2 linked regions of the Arabidopsis thaliana genome follow. The protein of the gene in region 1 interacts with the protein of each later gene in a pairwise test. Each region holds a gene or a part of one and is shown on either strand. Other genes may lie near its edges.

The links. The genes of interacting proteins can lie anywhere in the genome.
Region 2: the proteins of GN (region 1) and WOL interact in a two-hybrid assay, tested with the Arabidopsis thaliana proteins (one large-scale study listed by BioGRID).

What each region holds. Positions count from the first base shown.
Region 1 is NC_003070.9:4,786,972-4,794,558, reverse strand, and holds the start of GN (sec7 domain-containing protein), read right to left. Parts: upstream 6,010-7,587; 5' UTR 5,905-6,009; intron 5,099-5,904; 5' UTR 4,973-5,098; coding exon 4,235-4,972; intron 3,780-4,234; coding exon 162-3,779; 3' UTR 1-161. UniProt on the Arabidopsis thaliana protein: Activates the ARF proteins by exchanging bound GDP for free GTP. Plays a role in vesicular protein sorting. Acts as the major regulator of endosomal vesicle trafficking but is also involved in the endocytosis process.
Region 2 is NC_003071.7:362,480-369,984, reverse strand, and holds WOL (CHASE domain containing histidine kinase protein), read left to right. Parts: upstream 1-1,627; 5' UTR 1,628-1,968; coding exon 1,969-2,030; exon of another isoform or gene 2,031-2,548; coding exon 2,549-3,098; intron 3,099-3,278; coding exon 3,279-3,515; intron 3,516-3,608; coding exon 3,609-3,778; intron 3,779-3,953; coding exon 3,954-4,172; intron 4,173-4,253; coding exon 4,254-4,492; intron 4,493-4,585; coding exon 4,586-4,815; intron 4,816-4,893; coding exon 4,894-4,992; intron 4,993-5,075; coding exon 5,076-6,280; intron 6,281-6,421; coding exon 6,422-6,653; 3' UTR 6,654-7,002; downstream 7,003-7,505. UniProt on the Arabidopsis thaliana protein: Cytokinins (CK) receptor related to bacterial two-component regulators. Also binds the synthetic urea-type cytokinin thidiazuron, a potent defoliant and herbicide. Functions as a histidine kinase and transmits the stress signal to a downstream MAPK cascade.

The DNA.
Region 1 (7,587 bases):
TCGTAATTAAGAAACTTGCTTAATTAATACGAGTCTCTGAATTAGAAAGACTTATATATTACAAAAAAAAACGTAGAGAGGTGTTACATAAGAAGCTTTCACTTTCACAGTACTTATATGGATATTCGAAAGAAACTCACCTAATGATCTCACTTGTAAGGTCACGAACCAGTTGTGTTTTCAGGAGAAGATAAGCCATTCGATACGGTTTCATCATCACCAAGTTGTGAGGATTCTTGATCAGGGAATAGCTCCAGTCGCATAGACGGTGCAATGTTATTCACATGAAGCCATGTTAGCTCCCATAAGCTATCTCCACCAAGAGCACTTCTTTGCAATAGCACGCCTTTCGTCTTCATCACCAGCAATATGTTTTTGAGAAGCTCTGGTACTGATTCTTGTAGCTTGTCGCTTTTTTTGCCTCTTACTTTCACTTTCATGTATTTCTCCATTCGAGTTAGAACACCGAGCCATAGCTTGCAGAAGGTTGATAACTGAGATAGCTCTTGGAGTTGCTGAAGAAACACTTTGGAGAGAAGTTTGATTGCGAGAAGCAATGTGCCTTCCATGTTTCGGTAGTCTTTCTGTGACCCAGCAGCTATCTCAAGTAAGTCATCCAAAACCGTGAAGATTACTTTGTCAAAGCATTGAGACCACATGCTATGAGCTAGGTTGATTCCGTCTACTCCGCCTAAACACTTCTGTAATGACTGTAAAGCGTGGTTTCGGACATCCTCCCTCTGGTCTAAACACACTTTTCTTAGTCCTTGAACAAGCCTTAACCACATTTCCCCAATATCTTGTGACATCTTCCCGAAATCTTCTTCTCCCATGTTTTCCTTAGCTGAGAGAGCCCATTTAGCCAAAAATTCTAATGAATCTCCCATTAGATCAAGGGCACGGATAGAGCGTTCGGACTGTCCCACGCGGGATTCAGCAAACTGTCTTGCAGCATCAACACAGAGTACATAATTGGCTGGATACAGGTGAGTTCCTTCAGACATAACAAAGGATACGGCATCAAATCCTGATTCAGAAGCTTCTGGGTGCCGCGCTGTGATGGAGAGTAAGGATGTGATTGTTCTCCAACCCGCCTGAGACCTGATGTGATTAGCATTGGCTTTCACAAGACGGCTGACTTCAATTGCAATTTGCTCACAATAGGCATCTGCAACACGTGCATCCAGTTTCAGCACAAGCTGAAGAGATCTCAAAAGCTCATCAGCTAGGCTTTCTTTATAAGGAAGTAGTCTCTGGCAGATCCGAAGTAGACCAAAAATAGCTTTATCCACTAAGTTGCAGGGCATCACCGTTGACTGAGCAATTGTAGCTATATGTTCATAGACGCCTTGCCATAGGAGAACGATCCTGTCTCTGTTGTTTAGAGTGATTGCAATAAGCAATTCCAGACAGAAAACCGCAGTATCCTCATCCTCTGGAGAACTGGTTCCTTTCTGTGGCCTACCTGCAGCCCAAATGAGAGCACGCGCAAGCTGCAACAAAGATTCAGCTTGTAGAAACTTGCTTTCGGTAAATATGCTGTCAATGTGACATTTCTGAATTGTTTGAAGTGTTCGTTGATGAGCTGCAAGCTGTTGCTCAGTAGGCTGTGATCTTGGCTCTTCTGTATCAAGTGAAAGAAGCTGACTAAATCTTCCCATCAATCCGGAAGATCTCCTCGGAGTTCCCATTGACTGTAGATGAGCTGAAGATAGGGAATTCGCGAGGGGCTTTCCTTGCCCTTGCTCAGATGAATGTTCTGATTCATCAGCTGCATCACTGGCTACACGAGCTGGCAGAAGTCCAAGTTTATGTAGCCGTAAGATACAGTCCAATATGTTCCTCCAACCCGTACGTATATAATCTCCATATTTGTTTGCAATGGTAAAAATTGTGATAGTAGCCATCCTTGCTTTTGCGTCATCACCAAATGCAAGAACGGGTTCATCAACAGATGATGGATTCAACAGAGTTGTGAATTTGCAGAGAGAGACAACCAGATCATCAAGCACATCTTCAAGATGATGACAGGCAGAAATTTTAGCTATAGCCAAGAATCCATCGATGCATGTCTGGTAAACGTCTTCATGTTCTGCATGGTCAAAAACGACTGATATGGCAGCAATGGTTGGACCAGACATGATAGCAAACATATCATGGTCAAGATAAGCCCTTGAATCAGCCAGAATATATGGAGCAGTTTTCTTTGATTTATGCATCAAATCAATCCAACGGCTGGGAGTCATTTCAGGAAAGCCTGCACCTTGTTCTGGAGTAGTCCTGATCTCATTGTTGCAGATGGAGTGAAAGAGTTCAGACAAGAATTCTCGAGGTAGATCATTTCCTCCATTGATATGCCTATTATTGCGAATGAAATCCTCTTCTGTCATCTTTTTCTTTACTTGAACGTTGTGCTGATCAGTGTTAAGCATGATAATAGAGTATGATAACACAAGAGCAGCATCCTTGTTGGCCAGAATCTCAGGAGATTGCATATAGTATCTTTCAGAGAACGCCTCAAGCACTCTCTGTATTTTCTGGGATTCTCCAGGCAACCTGAAGGTTTCCAAGAAGAGTCGGAGTGCAGTATCCAGATTCATGTACTGGAAATCGAAAGTCCCAGCAAACTCATTGAGAACTTGAACACAAAATTCGTCATGATTTCCAAGAAAATCCCCAACAAGGTTCTTATCAAGCCCAGCAGTATATCTAAAAAAGCAAGCAACACTTTGGGGATCGAGTTTGTCAGGCAAAAGATGTGTGCCTTGGAGAAACTCTAACCCCTTCTTTGGATCCCTGTTAAAATGATCTGCTCCAATCATTAACCTTCTCTTGATATATTTTCTCCTGCGGACAAATGAAACCCAGTGATTTGGATCACTATAGTTGTCACACTTAACCATCCAGAAAGGCGTGTACTCATCAAGATGGACAGGACCCAAATCCAAACCAGTCAATCCATTACTTATCCTCTCGGCCATTCCCTGAATAACAGCGATTAGGCCATCCAGAGCAAGAATGTGCATTGCAGACAAAGGACAGTTCACAGGAAATGTGCTCTTCGAGAGAAGATTAGACAGCTCCTCAAACACGTTGCTGCAAGTTATATCACAATCGAGATTGGCATACATTTCAACCATAAAACTCTTCTGCCTACAAAAATTCACAAGAGCCTCCATAGCAACCTCTTGCTGCTGATACGAGGGCCCATATTTTCCTTGAGCAAGCCTTAGAATCACACATGAAAAGAATGCCTCAAGCTGCAACTTGAGTTCAGTTCGTAGATGTTGATACAAATTGAGCACAATGCTGCAAACCATCGAAAGAATCAGGGGGCTCATCGACAATCCGAACTGCATCAAGTTACGAAATAACTCATCTTGAATTAGGCTTAACAATCTTGGGTGATGGCGGATGGACGATCCACCCAATTCAATGGCTGAGTTGATCAAGTTCAACGCAAACAGAGGCACATCTTCGTCAAATGCTATGGTGTTTGATCGGGATCCCATACCAACATGTTCGACCACATTTAACAAAGAGCACAAGAAGTGAAAAATTTCCACCATACTTGGGACTCCGTATGGCTCTGTCATTATATGCAAATCATATGGAGAAGCCGGCTTTCTGCTTCCAGGGCCAACTGGTCCATCATCCATCAAACTTTGAGCACCAGTTGCAAAAGTTGCCATAGAATTTTCAACATCATACTCGGAATTAGCATTTCCATCCTCGACTGGTTTACTCACAATGGCATAATCACTGTCTACTCCAGCTTTCTGCGACCATGCAAAACACCATCACTAATTATTGTACAATAATTAGTGATATATGAATCAAGGGAAGAAGGCTTAAAATCCAGCATTTGTTGGGAAAATTATTCCGTATGAAATTAATTATTCACTATCTACAGAGTTTCTGGTCTAAATTCTCTAGTAGTGATCTTTGACTCGCACTAGGAAAAATATATTTTCCTATCTGAATGAAAACAAGCGTCTACATAATTTTGAAGTTCAAGAGTAAGTTGCAGACCTATATTTAACAAATCGCCAAATCTATGGCTCTTTATCATTTCTATTTAAATAGTTTCTCTGCTTTTTCAATTTTCTAGGTTGCAAGTAAAGGAACCTAGCTACTGTAGTATCATGTTTTTATTTAATCTCAGAACATCCTACAGGACCAAACTGACTTGTAACCAACTAGAAAGGAAATAACAAGGACCCCAATACCATACCTCTTGTTTGATGCTACCAGCTCTGTTGACAAGTGTAGTTTCTGTTCTTTCAACATCTGGGAGATGCGAGAAGATACACCTCACTAATTCATGCATCGTGTGGCGAGCTACTCGTTGCAATAACTCACCTTTCATTCCTGCTTGGTGGACAACACGAAAACAAGTGTTGACGACAGTGCATACATGCTGATTGCTTAGCATAACTGATGCTTTATTTTTCATACATGCTAGAAGAACCTGAAGTATCTTCATTAGCACAACCTCTTCTGATGCAGGATCTGTCACCTCAAATCGACAGCTTGTCACAGAATCAACTACCAAGTGCATAGCGTCTTCAATATTCGCAGTATTTTGATCAATTACATTCAGGTTTAAGATCTTGTAAACTGATGACAAAGCAATGCTGGTTATTGGTGCTCCAGTTTCATCTGACCGTATCACATCAAGAAAGGGCTGAAGATACAACATGGGACTAATTGTATGCCACGGCTGGTTCCATGAGAACACCTGTTTTCTAAGAGCTTTAAGTGACTGAATCAACGAGTGTTCTAGTTGATCATCACCAGACATGTATCGACCTCCCCATCTTACATTTCTTCTCATAACCGCTAAAACAGCAGCAATTTCCGTATCAATCATGCATGCTAAAGTGGTTGTATTACTTGAATCAGTACACTCAAAGTCCTCAGGTTCTTCCTCAATGGCCTTGATTCCAGAATGCAACTTTAGGCGACCCATTTAATCTGCTCAAATCTTCAGCCAGAGCCCAAGGCACTTCAATGCTCACAATCTTCCTGGCAGAATATAAAGTAGATACAGCCGGAGCATATACCCTTCACAGATAGAGGCCAAACTCAATCATTACTGGCAAAAAAAAACAAATTAAATTTAAAAAATCTTATTTTAAAACAGATAATAGATGCATTTCAAGAGCTAATAAGATAGAAAGTGGCGTAACTTTTCACATCATACATTACAGAGATAATCAAAATCTACAACGCTGTCTCTGAATGAAACCACTTTGATTCAAACAAATAAACCACAAGCAAAGAATTCTATAATGGTCAGAAACCATGCTGATAATTTAGTAACTATATAGAGTAACCTCTTCCATAGTAATAACATATGTTGCAGATTTCCCAAATCACATTTAGATTGTGAATAGCTAAGCAACTATTTCCAACAATTTGAGCCCCCAAAAAAACGAATTCCTACAGATCCCTAAATAGCAAAGTTTGTAAACTCGTTGTTACATCAATAAACCTGATAACACTAAACCCATCTACAAAATCAGCAACTTATAGAGTTAAGAGTCACTATATCCGATGGAATAAGTTTAAACTACAATTCAACAGACCAGTGACAGTGTCATGAAACTATTATCAGTTCTCCAGATAAGAAAAATCCCGTCAACACAAGAGAACTCGAGACACGTCTCGCTAAATCTCGAAATTCAGGAAAATCACCAGCAATGCGAATCAAAGAAAACGAGGAGTTTGTTCGACGCTAGAACGAAATCTAGTTCAAATATAGAAGAAGAACAAATAGAGGTAACTTCTGACTTAGATTCTAGTAATCATTAAGAACATCAATGCACAACGAAGGAACGATACAAACAAATAGTATACGAAGAAGAAGTTCGAAGAAACGAGATCTGTAGATTTACTTACTGTTTCTCCAGCGATTCAGAGATCTGTCGTCGGGCTCCGACGACGAGAAACAGAAATGCTTTTGAGGAAAGCACGATCGGAAATTCTCGAGGAGGGAGCAAAAGGCGAAGAAAGCAAAAAAATAAAAATAAAGTATGTACTTGAATTTACGAAAACACCCCTCTCTGCCCAAATACTCATATTTCCAGGTAGATGGGTCTGTTATTTAAGATATTTATACTTGAGACCCTTAATTATCTGAAAATTTACTTCATAACCCGATAAATTATTACTAATGGGCCTATAACAGGCTCATAATATAACGAGAAAAATATAGGCCCAATTAATGGAACCTTAATGAACGGCTTTAGTTTGTTTTATGGTCTTGCAGGCCTCACTGTATAAATTTGTTTTTTTTTTTTGTTTTTTCTCAAATCATATCACTTGTCATTTTCAAAAAATATGGAAAAGAAAATCGTATAAAATTCTATTTGGAAAAGTATATGCTACAAACAACTGTAATAGTACTAGTATAGTTTTGTAGAACAGTTGAATAATTCTTGTTCTTTGATGTTGTTGAGGTGGTTGCCTTTGCCAGTTTGTCCTAATGGATAGTGGGAGACAATACTTTTTAGAGTTTCATAACCGAAATATAAGTAAACCTAAATTAATATGGAGTTGTCCAACATAAACTATATAAGGGATTAGTACACAATAAACATTTTTTATATGTCTCTTCCATTTATAATCATAAGATATTTATGACTCTCTGCTTTGTCTGTTTAGGTATTCTTACACCCGAAGGACATGTCTCTTTCATGTTTAATTAGTGTCAAAAGAAATTGAACTACCATTTTTCAAAAAATATATAATATGTTTATCAATCTATGATTCATCATATGCATAATAGAAATATCTAAATAGCTAGCTCGATTCATATGTTGTGGACGAAATTCGTTAGGGCATTTTTTTTTATATATATCTTAAGTGATTATGTAATACATAACAAATGACATAGTTTTTGAAAATTAACAAAAAAAAGAAGAAAAAGTTAATTAGTTATTCATATGATTTAGATGTAAATAGTCTTCATACTAAGAGAATTATATTTGTTTTCAGTTGACATATATACATCCAGGTATTTGATATCTGAATAGTATAACATTGAATATCAAACATATACTATTCAATATTCATTATCATACACACCTCTAGATTTATAGATATCTAGATTTTGGTAGTATAATACAAAGTTGCCAGTTGGCAATGTTTCCTAAGGTCTACACACGTTTAAGTATTTGTTTGGAACGTCGTATCTGATTCTTAATTTCTATATTAACTTGTATGATATATTTGGTATCCACGTAACTACTAAACTGCACCGGTCTCTGTTTTAAAAAAGTATCAAAATGATATATAAACTAGATTTTAACATGTGATATACTGCGGGACGATTTATTTTTTAAAAGTAATATATATTAAAACTTGCAAATTTTATTTTTATAAAATATTTTTATTTTACAGTTTATAATTGTTATTAAATAACACTATACCACGAATTCATGAGATAATTGTTAAAAAACTGAAGTTTTAATCCCTACTTAAACAGCATATTAATAATATTTTAAAATTTTATAAATATTGATTCAAATACATCCACCATATAACCCAATTCCAAAATAAAACCCGTTCTGTAAATTTTTT
Region 2 (7,505 bases), on another chromosome or scaffold:
CTTCCTCCAAAAAAAAAAAAAAATCATTCCCAGATCCATCGATATGAAATTGTATAGAAAAAATGGTATTCGATCCAAGTTTATTGTCTTCTATTTTTCTTAGGTTAATTTCACTTTATTCCAGATTCATTGTTTGTTTTTTCTTTCTCGGAAGAGCACAATGTGAGTTTCACTGGCCTCTGTTATAAACATATATAGAAATCTGTAACAAAAATCATTACTAAAATTCTGTGACATGTGCAGCGATCAAAGAATCAATAGCGGAAAAAGAAACTACACTGCATTCATCTATGACTGAAAGCTTCTGATCAAGCCATGAAATTAAGGTATCCCAAACACGTATCTTCTCTATGTTTATCAATCTTGCTTTAAGTTCTAATTCTGCATATTTCAAAGGAACCATACAAGTGTTCCTAAAATCCATTTGAATATTCAAAAACTTCTCTCAAATATCATGTAGTTATAGAAGCTACTGTCTCTAAGCGCACGAGAGAAAGCTACACAACCCACGTCAGTTTCCATCTACACATATAAGGTAATAATAATATTTTCATGTATCTTTAATAATAGCTCTATGTTTTTTTCTGTATTTTTCATTATAAAACTCATAACTATGTTATCATTTAATATGGTACTAATTTAATGGGATTGATTTACTATTGCCTCAAACATGTAATAATTTAATGATTTTTTGTTTTTAACGTTTTTAGAAATTCATGAGCATTTTAAATTTGTGGTTAGGTCATAACAATTTGCTATTACAAAAAAAAGAAACACTCTAAATAATATAAAAAATAGTTTACCGTATAATACTAGTAGTAAATAAATAATTTGATTGTTATTCATAAATTTTGAATTCTAAAATCTCCTGAATCAACTCATGCAATTGTCTTAAGAATTACACGTGGATAAATCATGGGCTTATGAGTCAGGCCCATTTAACCGGGGTATTTTCGTAGTTAAGAGACTAGAATGGTGGGTATTTCAGGTAAAAGGTCTATGGGGCCAGATCTGCGCTTTGTCGCGATGTCATTATCGCCAAAGATATGCGATAGCGACTCTCGTACAAAGTCTCTCACTCACCTATATTTTTTGTTTTCTTATATTTCAACAAAAAAACGTTTTATTTTCCTTTTGGTGTAAGTAAAAAAACAAAACAAAACGTTTTATTTCTAAAGTTCAGAAAACTTATTTATACCAAGGAAAAAATAGATAATAAATTTTGAGAAGTTGGTGACTATATATTACTTCACTTATTCAAGAAATTTAAACATGGTAAATGTTACTTTAAATGTTAAATGATGTATAAGAAATGTAATGAAATTGAATAAATGTAGTTTTAAAGATGTTTTAATTAGTAAGACAAACCTAGTTAGTGTCACAATAATTATATTTTTTTTTTTGTCATCCAAAATTATTAAAGCTCAAGTAAACCAATCCTGAGGGATATTATTTACAAATGTGATATGATGCGGTTCGGTGCGGATCTTCCGCGCCAAATTATACGCTTTTATATTAGCATTATAAAAAATTATAGATAAAGAGAAGTTTGTGAATTCTTCATTGTCGCTTTGCAATTTCTCTAAATACACAGTAAATACCGACAATTCGGTTAGAGAAAATATATCTATTTCGTATAATAATGTTAACTTTGAGGAGATTTTGGGTAAAATAATAACTTTTGTTGGATGGATCATATCATGAGCCATTAAGAAAAAGTCCAAAACTTTTCTTCTTCAAAGTTGGACTCAAGTTAGAAAAAGAAAAAAGAGCTAGAGAGATATAAAAATGAAAAGAAAGTTCATGGCAAAAAACTGATATAGACAGAGACACAGAGAGAGAGAAACGTATCTGAAGAAAATCTAAAAAATTCGATTCAATTTTTTTCTTACTTTTAAAAGCAAAAAATCTCACTAAAACAAAAGAAGAAGAAAGAAGAAAGAAAATGGAATACCTACATTTGAAGTGATGAGAAGAGATTTTGTGTATAATAATAATGCAATGTTCAATCCTCTCACAACTCATTACAGGTAACTAAAATAATTTCTCCATGTGCTTGCTTATTAGTCGTTCTTCCTAATGTTATGTTTCTCTCTGTGTTCTTTCTTTCTTTGGTCAAAGCTTTAATTTTTTTTCTATTGTTGGATTTGAGACAGTGAACATAGCTATGTTCTTGTTCCAATAATAAACAATCACGCCTGTAAAGAGCTTATGATTGATTAGTGTGTTTTTTAGTATTAATTAATTTCTCTGACAATAATTACTTAGTTTTTAATTCTTCTCTGTAAGAAACCTTTGGAAACTGAGCAAAGTTGCTTCTTTTGAGAACCATGCGTTTCTTTCTCTCTTTTGTTCTTGAATTCGCAAAAACATGTCCTTTTTCGTCTACAGGTTTCTAGGGTTTGTTTCTGTACTATAAACTATGTTTATGGTAACATTCTTAATCATAACTACACTACCAATGCTTTTATGTTATATGTATGCAAAAAAGGCTCTAACTTTTGTTTTCTTTCACTATTGTTTCTTCTTTTGTTCTCTATTGTTGTAGCTCAGATATGAACTGGGCACTCAACAATCATCAAGAAGAAGAAGAAGAGCCACGAAGAATTGAAATTTCTGATTCCGAGTCACTAGAAAACTTGAAAAGCAGCGATTTTTATCAACTGGGTGGTGGTGGTGCTCTGAATTCGTCAGAAAAGCCGAGAAAGATCGATTTTTGGCGTTCGGGGTTGATGGGTTTTGCGAAGATGCAGCAGCAGCAACAGCTTCAGCATTCAGTGGCGGTGAAGATGAACAATAATAATAATAACGATCTAATGGGTAATAAAAAAGGGTCAACTTTCATACAAGAACATCGAGCATTGTTACCAAAAGCTTTGATTCTGTGGATCATCATTGTTGGGTTTATAAGCAGTGGGATTTATCAGTGGATGGATGATGCTAATAAGATTAGAAGGGAAGAGGTTTTGGTCAGCATGTGTGATCAAAGAGCTAGAATGTTGCAGGATCAATTTAGTGTTAGTGTTAATCATGTTCATGCTTTGGCTATTCTCGTCTCCACTTTTCATTACCACAAGAACCCTTCTGCAATTGATCAGGTCAGTGTGTGCTTTATTAAAAGCTCAAAGCTTTGGTGAAATTTTTGATTCATAAATGCAAAGTTGACTTTTTTTGGAACCAGAAGTTTTTGAAATTTACTCTTTTATGTTTGGTTATTGAGTAAATGAAGGGAAATTTAGGCCTTTGCTTTACTCATTGGTTTGTGGCTAATTTTGCAGGAGACATTTGCGGAGTACACGGCAAGAACAGCATTTGAGAGACCGTTGCTAAGTGGAGTGGCTTATGCTGAAAAAGTTGTGAATTTTGAGAGGGAGATGTTTGAGCGGCAGCACAATTGGGTTATAAAGACAATGGATAGAGGAGAGCCTTCACCGGTTAGGGATGAGTATGCTCCTGTTATATTCTCTCAAGATAGTGTCTCTTACCTTGAGTCACTCGATATGATGTCAGGCGAGGTAATATAAACATTATCAGACACTTATGGTTTTGTTTTTTCGGTTAAGTATCCGACCTGCACCTCTTCTGAATTTTGGCTATCTTTTCTGCAGGAGGATCGTGAGAATATTTTGCGAGCTAGAGAAACCGGAAAAGCTGTCTTGACTAGCCCTTTTAGGTTGTTGGAAACTCACCATCTCGGAGTTGTGTTGACATTCCCTGTCTACAAGTCTTCTCTTCCTGAAAATCCGACTGTCGAAGAGCGTATTGCAGCCACTGCAGGGTAAAGTTCCCATCTGATTACTGGAGCAAACTTTTGCTTGTGATCATGTAAAAAGAGATTTTCGAGATTTCATGATTGGTTTATGTGTGTGATCATGTAAAGGAAAGAGGTTTTTTGAGATTTCAAGATTGGTTTGTGTGTAAAGTAAAGATTGATGCTTGAATTTGAAATGCAGGTACCTTGGTGGTGCGTTTGATGTGGAGTCTCTAGTCGAGAATTTACTTGGTCAGCTTGCTGGTAACCAAGCAATAGTTGTGCATGTGTATGATATCACCAATGCATCAGATCCACTTGTCATGTATGGTAATCAAGATGAAGAAGCCGACAGATCTCTCTCTCATGAGAGCAAGCTCGATTTTGGAGACCCCTTCAGGAAACATAAGATGATATGCAGGTACCACACAGAAAATCTTAAAGCTAAAATACTCTCTGATATCTAAAAACTGATATCTTGTTTGAACAATTTCGAGTGCAGGTACCACCAAAAGGCACCAATACCGTTGAATGTGCTCACAACTGTGCCATTGTTCTTTGCGATTGGTTTCTTGGTGGGTTATATACTGTATGGTGCAGCTATGCACATAGTAAAAGTCGAAGATGATTTCCATGAAATGCAAGAGCTTAAAGTTCGAGCAGAAGCTGCTGATGTCGCTAAATCGCAGTTTCTTGCTACCGTGTCTCACGAGATCAGGACACCAATGAATGGCATTCTCGGTACTACATCTTCAAACAAATTCCAGTACTGTTGCCTTTCATCTTTGGTTTCTCAAACTGCCTCAAAGATTCTGTTTTAAAAATTTTCTGCAGGAATGCTTGCTATGCTCCTAGATACAGAACTAAGCTCGACACAGAGAGATTACGCTCAAACCGCTCAAGTATGTGGTAAAGCTTTGATTGCATTGATAAATGAGGTTCTTGATCGCGCCAAGATTGAAGCTGGAAAGCTGGAGTTGGAATCAGTACCATTTGATATCCGTTCAATATTGGATGATGTCCTTTCTCTATTCTCTGAGGAGTCAAGGAACAAAAGCATTGAGGTAAGTTTTCAATCCAAGGAATAAAGATACATCTATTTGGAGTTGTGGCTGCTAATTTCTTGATTTCAAATTTGGCAGCTCGCGGTTTTCGTTTCAGACAAAGTACCAGAGATAGTCAAAGGAGATTCAGGGAGATTTAGACAGATAATCATAAACCTTGTTGGAAATTCGGTTAAAGTTAGTCCCTATTTCAATCTCTGCCTTTGTTGGCAGCTTGTGTATATGATTTTTGTTTGATCAAGATGTTGTCTTTTTGACAGTTCACAGAGAAAGGACATATCTTTGTTAAAGTCCATCTTGCGGAACAATCAAAAGATGAATCTGAACCGAAAAATGCATTGAATGGTGGAGTGTCTGAAGAAATGATCGTTGTTTCCAAACAGTCAAGTTACAACACATTGAGCGGTTACGAAGCTGCTGATGGTCGGAATAGCTGGGATTCATTCAAGCATTTGGTCTCTGAGGAGCAGTCATTATCGGAGTTTGATATTTCTAGCAATGTTAGGCTTATGGTTTCAATCGAAGACACGGGTATTGGAATCCCTTTAGTTGCGCAAGGCCGTGTGTTTATGCCGTTTATGCAAGCAGATAGCTCGACTTCAAGAAACTATGGAGGTACTGGTATTGGTTTGAGTATAAGCAAGTGTCTTGTTGAACTTATGCGTGGTCAGATAAATTTCATAAGCCGGCCTCATATTGGAAGCACGTTCTGGTTCACGGCTGTTTTAGAGAAATGCGATAAATGCAGTGCGATTAACCATATGAAGAAACCTAATGTGGAACACTTGCCTTCTACTTTTAAAGGAATGAAAGCTATAGTTGTTGATGCTAAGCCTGTTAGAGCTGCTGTGACTAGATACCATATGAAAAGACTCGGAATCAATGTTGATGTCGTGACAAGTCTCAAAACCGCTGTTGTTGCAGCTGCTGCGTTTGAAAGAAACGGTTCTCCTCTCCCAACAAAACCGCAACTTGATATGATCTTAGTAGAGAAAGATTCATGGATTTCAACTGAAGATAATGACTCAGAGATTCGTTTATTGAATTCAAGAACCAACGGAAACGTTCATCACAAGTCTCCGAAACTAGCTCTATTCGCAACAAACATCACAAATTCGGAGTTCGACAGAGCTAAATCCGCAGGATTTGCAGATACGGTAATAATGAAACCGTTAAGAGCAAGCATGATTGGGGCGTGTCTGCAACAAGTTCTCGAGCTGAGAAAAACAAGACAACAACATCCAGAAGGATCATCACCCGCAACTCTCAAGAGCTTGCTTACAGGGAAGAAGATTCTTGTGGTTGATGATAATATAGTTAACAGGAGAGTAGCTGCAGGAGCTCTCAAGAAATTTGGAGCAGAAGTGGTTTGTGCAGAGAGTGGTCAAGTTGCTTTGGGTTTGCTTCAGATTCCACACACTTTCGATGCTTGCTTCATGGATATTCAAATGCCACAGATGGACGGGTAACTAAATCACAACTAATACTATTTTTGGATTATTCGGTTTTTGAATTGTTCGGTATGAAAAATTTCCCGCCAAATTATAACTGACTTGGTTTGGTTCGGATTCGGTTAAAATCTTTTATAAACTTCATTGATTCTCAGATTTGAAGCAACTCGTCAGATAAGAATGATGGAGAAGGAAACTAAAGAGAAGACAAATCTCGAATGGCATTTACCGATTCTAGCGATGACTGCGGATGTGATACACGCGACCTACGAGGAATGTCTGAAAAGTGGGATGGATGGTTACGTCTCCAAACCTTTTGAAGAAGAGAATCTCTATAAATCCGTTGCCAAATCATTCAAACCTAATCCTATCTCACCTTCGTCGTAATCCAATCTTCCGGCGAGTTTTTTTTCTCTCTCCGCAGCCGGAAGAGTGGACCGATTCTGCTGATTGATATGCATTTTGGTTTCTGTACATACAGTAGGTTCACAATCTAGAGATTTTGAAGGTTTTTTTTTCTTTCACCGAAGTAATGTAGCTTGCCATGACTAGTGTATGTTGTTAAACGACAACGTCTAAGACGACGGTTCAGTGTTGATCTTAGCGTAAGTATTAATCCCACGGGATCGTTTGTACTGTATCAGATTTGGTTAGTCGTTTAAACATTGTAATGTTCTAATAATAACTTTTCCATATATAACATCTTCTTATAACTTGAGACGAGACCATTTTGATTCATCTTTTGAGCTTGTTTAGCAACCAAATCGGTTAGCTAGTTGAACGAAGATCAGAGAAAGAGCTCAAACAACTCTTCATTAGCTATAGCTCAGTCGACGACTTGAGCTTTCAAACAACAGAAACAGAGCAAAGCTTAAAAACGACTGCGTTTTACTATTGGTTCGTCGATCTCACTAAACCGAGTGAGATAACCAAAGCCAATCAACAACCCTTTAATCGGATCTCTCGATGTAATCTATAAAGGATGAGAAGAATTAGGAACTTGTCCAAGAAGAGTATATAGAAAATATCTGACTTTTTGTTTGTTTTTTATATACTCTATCGACTTATTTTATCAGTTTCAGTAGGAACGCAACGAAATACTACAGAATGAATTTCTCCCGATTTAGGTAGAATTGGATCACCACACTGTTAGGTTCTAATTTGAAATGCCTTCCGACTAATACCAAGGATAATCATACCGTCTGCATTTCTAACTACCAAATAAATTAATTGGACCAA